Arabidopsis thaliana: one gene and its partner. The protein of the gene in region 1 interacts with the protein of each later gene in a pairwise test. Each region holds a gene or a part of one and is shown on either strand. Other genes may lie near its edges. The genes, in order: AT5G62950 and AT1G06790.

What was found.
Region 2: the proteins of AT5G62950 (region 1) and AT1G06790 interact in a two-hybrid assay, tested with the Arabidopsis thaliana proteins (one large-scale study listed by BioGRID).

The regions. Positions count from the first base shown.
Region 1 is NC_003076.8:25,261,432-25,265,636, reverse strand, and holds AT5G62950 (RNA polymerase II, Rpb4, core protein), read left to right. Parts: upstream 1-1,583; 5' UTR 1,584-2,266; exon of another isoform or gene 2,267-2,482; 5' UTR 2,483-2,603; coding exon 2,604-2,611; intron 2,612-2,689; coding exon 2,690-2,807; intron 2,808-2,886; coding exon 2,887-3,039; coding exon of another isoform or gene 3,040-3,114; exon of another isoform or gene 3,115-3,141; coding exon 3,142-3,282; 3' UTR 3,283-3,458; downstream 3,459-4,205.
Region 2 is NC_003070.9:2,085,205-2,090,068, forward strand, and holds AT1G06790 (RNA polymerase Rpb7 N-terminal domain-containing protein), read left to right. Parts: upstream 1-1,977; 5' UTR 1,978-2,160; intron 2,161-2,438; 5' UTR 2,439-2,440; coding exon 2,441-2,551; intron 2,552-2,654; coding exon 2,655-2,750; intron 2,751-3,097; coding exon 3,098-3,185; intron 3,186-3,356; coding exon 3,357-3,441; intron 3,442-3,561; coding exon 3,562-3,631; intron 3,632-3,715; coding exon 3,716-3,805; coding exon of another isoform or gene 3,806-3,835; exon of another isoform or gene 3,836-4,008; coding exon 4,009-4,083; 3' UTR 4,084-4,243; downstream 4,244-4,864. Other genes in the region: GAUT6 (galacturonosyltransferase 6), read left to right, coding at 21-378, 512-1,033, 1,374-1,649; PLA-I{gamma}1 (alpha/beta-Hydrolases superfamily protein), read right to left, coding at 4,334-4,583.

The DNA of each region.
Region 1 (4,205 bases):
GGCAATGAGAGGAGCCTTGCCAAATTGGGGTTTTTAAAAAAGGCAGTTAGTTAGCTTAGCTTACATGTTTCAAGTGCTTTTTTCTCCAAAGCAAGAATCATGTGTCCTAATTCCTTTAATTTGCTTAAAACTGAATTGATTTTTATTCTTAAGAAATAAGAGTTAGGTTTGTATTGGTATATTTGTCGTTCATCGAGACGCCGCATAAAAAATGATACAATATATAAAAATTGATTTTCAAAAAGTTTACAAGACTCTTCTTAAACATACAAAATTTTGACATATATTTTAAACAAAAAACTAGATTTTAACCCGCGGTATACCGCGGGACGATTTATTTTTTAAAGGTAATATATATTAAAACTTGCAAATTGTATTATAATAATATATATATATATATATTTTACAGTTTACAATTGTTATTAAGAAAGCTATACCACGAGTCCATGAGACAATTGTTAAAAAACTGAAGTTTTAACTCTTATTAAAACATCATATTAATAATATTTTAAATTTTTATAAATATTGATTCAAATACATCCACCATATAACTCTATTCCAAAATAAAACCCGTTCTGTAATTTCTTTACTCGTCCCGTGATTTTTTTTTGAAAGTAGTAATTTTTAAAATATTAAGAATTATTTATTATATATAAAAGTTTGCAAATTATGACCCAATACTCAGTAGAAAATTGTCTTAAATCTATTTTTGACCCGTTATAGTATTTTTCATGTCTTGAACAGTTTATATTCGTTTTTAAAAATTCAAATTATGGCATATGCGAAAAAAATCTAATTATTTTTTATAACGATGATATTATTTTTTCGCAAAAATATAATCATATAAAGATAAGAGGTGAACTATAATAATTAATAAAAAATTAATATGATAATTTAGATATCAAATCTAATTTGTTGATTTTAATTGGTTACTTTTTAAAAAAATTAATAATGTATTTCGTTTTTTAATTAAATTTAATTAATTAAATTAGTATTTAACTTTTTAATATTTAAAGAGATGAATTAATTTACTCTTTAAATTTTATTTCTAATGGCATACCTATGTAATTACTTACAAAAAATAAGATTACATTTAAAATGTACTTCCCAAATAATATAGTAGGATTATGATTATTTCACCTTAGTTATTTATGAAGTTACTTCTTAGAAAGATTTCAAACTATTTATGTTACATGTAAGTTTTTTTTTAAAATCATATTTTTCGGAAATTATAACATATTTTTTGCAAAGTGTAAATGCAAACGCACAGACAACAAGTCAAGCGTTTGGCATAGTTTAAAAATAACTAAGCAAACGCTAAACACACAACAATTCAAGCATTGGGACATGTATTTGGGCTTATAACCCATCAAGCTGAAGAGGGCCGTGGATGCAATAACACATAAATGTTCTTTATGGGATAAACAGGCCCAGCTTAAGTTTATTTTTTGGTCTCTAGGGTTTTACTTTTGACAATAACGACGTCGTTCTACCGATTCATTCACCGCCACCGTCTGGAGCAAATCGTGGTCTCAATCTCCGTCTGAATCATACCTCGAAGGAGCTCCTCTAATTAGGGATGTTAATATGGGCTTATAATTTAGGGCCGGCCCGAGTCTGTTAAAAGATATAAGCCCTAACCCTAATAAAAGATTTTAGGTTAAGATAGGGCTATACTTAAATTGTTACGGGCTAAAATAGGGTTGGCCCTATTACACTTTTTTAATTATTCTTTATTCCATTTTTTTTATCTTTCTTTCTTCTTCTTTCTCCCAAACGCTCTTCTTCTTCGATCTCTTTTTTTTTTTTTTTATTACTTCTCTGAAGCCATAAGAGTTGAAGAATTCAAAGGATTGATCTGACTATAAACAGAAACTTCCAGAGCTTGGTGAAGGAGCAGCCACCCTAACTTTTCAATCCCTAAAGGTGAAGTTTTTGTTCTTCTTTTTCTTTGATTCTACTCTTTTTTTTGTCACCATAGCGAAATAGCGATCTGGGTTGGCGTTTTTATCGACGGATTTTGGTGGGTTCGTGTTAGATTTTGGTGGGTTTGAGTTGGTGTTAGATTTTGGTGGGTTTGGGTTCGTATTAGATTTTACTTTTACAGATTCATGTATGTGTTTGATCTTAATTAGTAGCTTTGGTAATACTCAAATCCAACTAGTAATTGATCTTAATTACGTGACGTTGATATTTTGTGTGTTGTGAGTCAATCAGCGAGCTACTTCTAGTATTTGAACTAATCCTTTCCGTCAAAGAAGAGAAGGTACTTATTTTCTTCCCTTAAATTGGTCATTATTTTTGATCGAATCCAAGGGTTTCACTTTAAGCTTTGATTCATATTAAGGTGCTTAGTACTGAACGTGACCTAAATATTTTCGATTTAGAAACGTTATTGATGTTGATGTTCCCATTGCATCATGATTTGTGGGAACGAGAATCATCTGTTCCTTGATGTTGATGTTCCCATTGAATTTTTCAGGAGCAAAAACTCTGATTTTGGAGCATCGTTAGTGTTGTTCTCTTCCCATATTGTTAAAACGACTTCGTTTGGTTGAAGAAAAAGCTTCCTGTGGTTGAAGTCTCTCTGCTCAACCTAAGAGATGAAAATGTATCATCCATCTTCCATTGTGTTTTTGTTCGATTCCTTCTCTATTTTTGTAGTTAAAATTTGGTGTGGTTGTTGCAGAGTCAAGGCAAATGCAGGAGCACTGACCAATTTCGAAGTGCTTGACTTTCTTAACTCGAGAGGTGCATCAAAAGATACTACAAGAGTTATAGCTCCAATTGCTAGATCAGAATACAAGGTTCTCTTGCCTGCAATATCTCTCTTCTGATTTGGTCTTAAGAGTGCACTTTTGTTGCTAATTGGAATGATCTTTATAGGTCTATGATTATTTGGTGGAGACTGCTGCTTCCACTCAAACACGAGAGAGCATTAACAAATTCGCAGACAAGTGTAAAGATTTCAAACTCGCTAAAGCTGAGATTCTCAATATCATCAATCTCCGGCCTTCTTCTATAGTCGAACTGTTACCGGTTTGTTTGTTGTTTCTAGCTTATACACTACCATTTCTATCACTGCATTTAATTTCTCTTCTTCATGGTTTATAACATTTGTTGATTGTGACTCTCTTGTAGATCATAGAGAACCTGGATGATCGAGAAATCGACACTGATGGGATATTAGAGCTTGTGAAGGATTTGTTACCTCCTCTGCCTACAACTGCAAGTCCTAAAGATGATGATGAAGAAGAAACAGAGAATGGTGAACAGTCGTGACGTGCTAATGAAGTTGTTGAGTTTATGTTTTGATTTTGTAACCATCCTCTTAAACGCTTATTAACTAGATTGAGTTTGTTATCTTTTAAGTTAAGAAGATAATCGATCGAACAATTTACGTCCATTCATTAACAAAGAAAAAAAAAACAGGTCCATACTAAATGATTTAAACTTTAAAATATAGAGGTACGACCCACAAAAGTGTAGAGGAATATGTTCTATAATTATACTAAAGGAGAATAATACAACTTATTTAATATACTTTTCTTGTCGAATATTATTTCAAATTTCGTTGGATAAGCATAAGGTTTGACATCTTGATATTGAGCAAAAATAGGTATCTCAACCTTTATGAAAGCATATGTAATCCATTCCATTGTTTCACTGAGCTATAATGATAAATATATGGTAGAAATATTCAAATTCCGCATACATATGGTTGAGTTGAAGCATAATCAGAATAACATTCAAGAAGAAATACATAGACAGAATTTTGAATATAATACTCTTGTAGTGTTTGTGATCTCAATTAGACATGGTTTATGTTCATTAGTGTGCTGGTTCAGTCGTGATCCCGGTAAAGGAAGATCATTTTCTTTGATCAGTTGGTTTGGAAGTGATTTATTTCGGTTTGGGTAAAACCAAGTTGTTAGGAAGTTTTAAATTTTTGTTTTCTGATATGCTTCTTTTAGTATCCAATTTTCCTGTTTGTACAAATTTACATATAATCCTTAAGAGTATGTAACTTAAACTTACATCAACTCCATTTTACATATACTTCATTTTTTCCAAATATCACAATATTATAGGACTAGACTGAAAATCTCATGATGTTGTGAATCATAACTTATGATGATGTAATGACAAGTAATGAGTGATGCAATAGAACAAAGATACGCGGGACAGATATACTTTTGTTAACT
Region 2 (4,864 bases), on another chromosome or scaffold:
GACATGATTGTTTCTTTCAGCGCTCTCCGCAGGGTGAAGCCCATGGAAAATGTGTTATATAAGGCTAGTCGTGTCTTTAACAATTGCCCTGCCATCGCTACCAAACTCCGTGCCATGAATTATAACACAGAAGAACAAGTTCAGGCGCAGAAAAATCAAGCAGCGTATCTAATGCAGCTTGCAGCAAGGACCACCCCAAAAGGGCTTCACTGTCTCTCAATGCGGCTGACATCAGAATACTTTTCACTGGATCCTGAAAAAAGGCAGATGCCTAACCAGCAAAATTATTTTGACGCTAATTTCAATCATTATGTTGTCTTCTCTGACAATGTTTTGGCTTCTTCAGTCGTTGTTAACTCTACGATATCTTCATCAAAGGTATCATGCATTTCTTATACAAATTTCTACTTGGTTATCATTATATGTTATACCTAATTTTAGAGTGTCTTACACTATATCTTCTCATTTACTTCCGCCACTTATTAATGTGGCTTCTGATTGCTGTTTGCAGGAGCCAGAAAGAATAGTCTTCCATGTCGTGACTGATTCACTTAATTACCCAGCAATCTCAATGTGGTTTCTGCTAAACATTCAAAGTAAAGCTACTATCCAAATCCTAAACATTGATGATATGGATGTCCTGCCTAGAGATTATGATCAATTACTGATGAAGCAAAACTCTAATGACCCAAGATTCATTTCTACACTCAATCACGCACGCTTCTATCTCCCGGATATATTCCCGGGTTTGAACAAGATGGTACTCTTGGACCATGATGTAGTTGTTCAAAGAGATTTAAGTAGACTGTGGAGCATTGATATGAAAGGAAAGGTGGTTGGAGCTGTAGAGACTTGTCTTGAAGGTGAATCTTCATTTCGATCAATGAGCACATTTATTAATTTCTCAGACACATGGGTCGCTGGGAAATTTAGTCCTAGAGCTTGCACATGGGCTTTCGGGATGAATCTAATTGATCTCGAAGAATGGAGAATACGGAAGTTGACTTCTACATACATAAAATACTTCAACCTGGTACGCTATATACACACACACACTCTACTGCACTTGCTCTCCCTATGGAAATAACACTGTAGCCATATTCAAAGTTTTCAAATGGGTTCTTAGATTTGTTGATTCGTCATTATATATGAAAAAGATTGTAATAATTATTAGGTTTTAGGTTGGCTATATCGAGGATGAAAGGTTTTGAATTTAGAACACAAATAACATTGCTGTAACTAGCAAAGAACATAAGCAAGCTAGTGCTAAAGATCATCTCCTAGAAGAAGAATGGTTACAAGCAACAACATATCTTGTCTATGTAATGGGCGTAAACCTAACAATGGTTTTGGGGAATTTGTTTTTTTGGCAGGGAACAAAGAGACCATTGTGGAAAGCTGGGAGCTTACCAATAGGTTGGTTGACTTTCTATAGGCAAACATTAGCATTGGACAAGAGATGGCATGTGATGGGGTTAGGTCGCGAATCAGGAGTCAAAGCGGTTGACATCGAACAAGCGGCAGTTATACACTACGATGGGGTCATGAAGCCGTGGTTGGACATTGGAAAAGAGAATTACAAACGTTACTGGAACATACACGTCCCTTACCATCACACCTACTTGCAACAGTGCAATCTTCAAGCTTGATACGAAAAAAAAAAAAAAAAAATCTGGCAACTTAGGTTCAGTTTCAGATTCTTTTTGTTAAACAAGCTACTCAAGCATGATATCAATGTTATGATTAGCTTCATTCTTTATCCCACATCAGTGTATATCTTGGTTCTTCTTTTTTCACACTTTTCATCAGAGCTTAATATTACTTAGACTATAGTGACAGGCTGACAGCAACAGATTGTTGTCATACCTTGGACTTGGCCCAATTTCCTTTTTTGGCCCACCGGTATGAATAAAAAGAGTGCGGTTTTCAGTTCGGTTCGGTTTATAAGCGTAACGATGACAAACCGATCGGTTTGTTTTAATTCTTGACTTTAATAACTAAACCCTAAATCGTTCTTCTTCTTCCGCATCTTCCTCACTCGATTAGTAGGTTCTCTCTTCTTCCAATCTATTCCCAACTTCTCACTTTTCCGTCTAATCGTTGTCTTCATCACCATCTCTCCGAGTTCCCTTCGAGACCATCTTATCTTCAATGGTTTAGGTATTGCCCGATTTTAGATAGTTTTGTTCTCTCGTATAGTTATGACAATGGCAGATTTTTGTACGCTCTGCACATGCTTAATCTTGAGGATTGGGCTATTATTACGTACTATGATTTAATGAATTTTAGATTTGAATTTTGGAACTTTTGATGATATGCATGTTAATGACCAAGAATGCTCCGAATTTGTCTGATTCGTTATTCGAATTCTACTTCTTTGATTGTTTGTTTCCAATTTTCCATGCATCTGACTTGTGAATTTTGAACAAAATTTTCAGAAATGTTTTATCTTAGCGAGCTAGAACATTCACTAAGAGTGCCTCCGCATCTACTTAATCTCCCTCTCGAAGATGCCATTAAGTCAGTGCTTCAAAATGTGTTCTTGGACAAGGTTTGCTCATTGCCCTTTTTCTTTCACTTTTATGGTATCCATTGTTTGCTTATTTATATACACACCTGGCTAATTTTATCAAAGTGGATTTTTGCTATGAAAGGTTTTAGCTGATTTGGGGCTTTGTGTATCTATTTACGACATTAAATCAGTAGAAGGAGGGTTTGTGTTACCCGGTGATGGTGCTGCGACCTATAAGGTATATCCAAATTGCTGATCTTTTCTCATCTCTATTCTTTTATCAGTTGAACATGGTTTTTTATATCAATTTTATGGCCTCCCAATGTCACTGTTAGTGGCATCATTGTTGACCTATCACCGTGTATTGCACACTTTCTGCACTGTATTGAGTTACATCTTTGTAGACTCATCATTACCGTACTAGAGTTTCAAACCATTCTGAGATTTTGGTTCTTCGGAATCGTTATCTGTTAGTCTAACTTTCACTGTACGGTTTTGGTTAAGAATTTTATTTTCAAAAGTTTTATCTTGCCTTGATTCAATATCTCATGTCGTGTTGTTAATACTTTGTTTGTGTGATTGTAGGTAGGTCTTAGAATTGTTGTGTTCCGTCCATTTGTTGGTGAGGTCATAGCTGCAAAGTTCAAAGAATCTGACGCCAATGGCTTGCGCTGTGAGTACTTTATTATACTGTTCCCTGAAGAATTCCAATGTTGTGCACTGTCTGCATCCTGCTACTCTAGTACATTGTTAGCTTATTAGCTACTTATGAATTGGATTAATACTTTGAAATCATGGATATGGTTAATCATTTACATGCTTACGGTACCTCTATACTTGGCAGTAACACTTGGATTCTTTGACGATATTTATGTGCCTGCTCCACTTATGCCGAAACCCAACCGCTGTGAGCCTGACCCTTATAATAGGTAAGAATATGTGTCCTGCAGTTTATGTAGTACTACCAGCTCTCCAACTATGAGTAGGAGATTGCACCAACATCTTTATATATCATTTGATCACAAAGTATAATGTTTTTTGGTTCACAGGAAGCAAATGATATGGGTGTGGGAATATGGAGAACCGAAAGAAGACTATATTGTTGACGATGCCTGTCAGGTGAATTTTTGGTTCCTGCATGTATCTTTAAGCATAATTATCTGAATGTGGTATGTTTTTATAACGAGGCATTGTAAATGGCAGATCAAGTTTCGAGTAGAGAGCATCAGCTATCCATCAGTTCCAACTGAGCGAGCAGAGGACGCAAAGCCTTTTGCTCCAATGGTGGTCACTGTAAGTTCATTCATCAAACTCATTCTCTGAAACTTTTCCACTTGTATATGCATTATAAACAACGCTAGTTAAGTAAGGTCAGATAAGCCTCCTGATTCCCTCCTCTCTTATAGATACTTAACTTTTATTTTGAGACACCATGATTTTTTGTTTTGGTTTTCCTACGTCGGTCCAGTGGTCAATCAATCTTGTGTACTGCGCAGGGGAATATGGATGATGATGGTTTGGGTCCTGTTTCTTGGTGGGATTCTTATGAACAGGTTGATCAAGAAGAGTGAGTGACCGAAACAGGTGGGATTCTTATGAACAGGTTGATCAAGAAGGGTGAGAGACCGAGACTTAGTCTAGGCATTGTCAGATGAAATTTTAACAGATGATGATCAAGCCAGTTTTGATGAAAACTTAAAATTTATTTTAAACTATGCACGGGTTTTCACTAAGATAGGGACGTTCAATTTTGTTTATCTGTAATGTAAAAAGGCAATGACACAAATTAGGAAGATTAAAAACCAAAAAAAAATCGATAAATTACAAGAGTTGTGATGGATGATGGAGTTGGGTGAGGAGTTGATGTATGTCAGGAGCATGTTGATCATCTGCACGGATGCGATCAGGTTGAATCCAACGGCCGTCAGTGTTCCTCACCATCCCTTTGTTTGCGTCTTGGCGCCAATAAGGAGGGACCATGAAATGGTCTTTCAAAAAATCAGATGCTTTGTTCACTAACGCTGGATCTCTCCCACTTGATAACACAAATCTCTGTCCTTTCCCATGATACCTATGTTTTTTTAAACAATAATCCAGATTCATCAACTCATACTAATACTATTATGCTCTAAACGACAAATTTATTTCCTAGTAGTTTTCGATAATTAAATTCTCTCCAACCTACCCATGAAAGAAAGAAGTGCCACGTAAATCAGATTACTAAATGACCCCATTATTCTCCATTCGGCATTTGATGAGGCAATAATGTTTACCAAATTTTTGAAAATCGTATTAATAAAGAAATGGTGTTGGAAAATGTGGACATTGAGATCTGTCTCCTCAAAGGCTTTT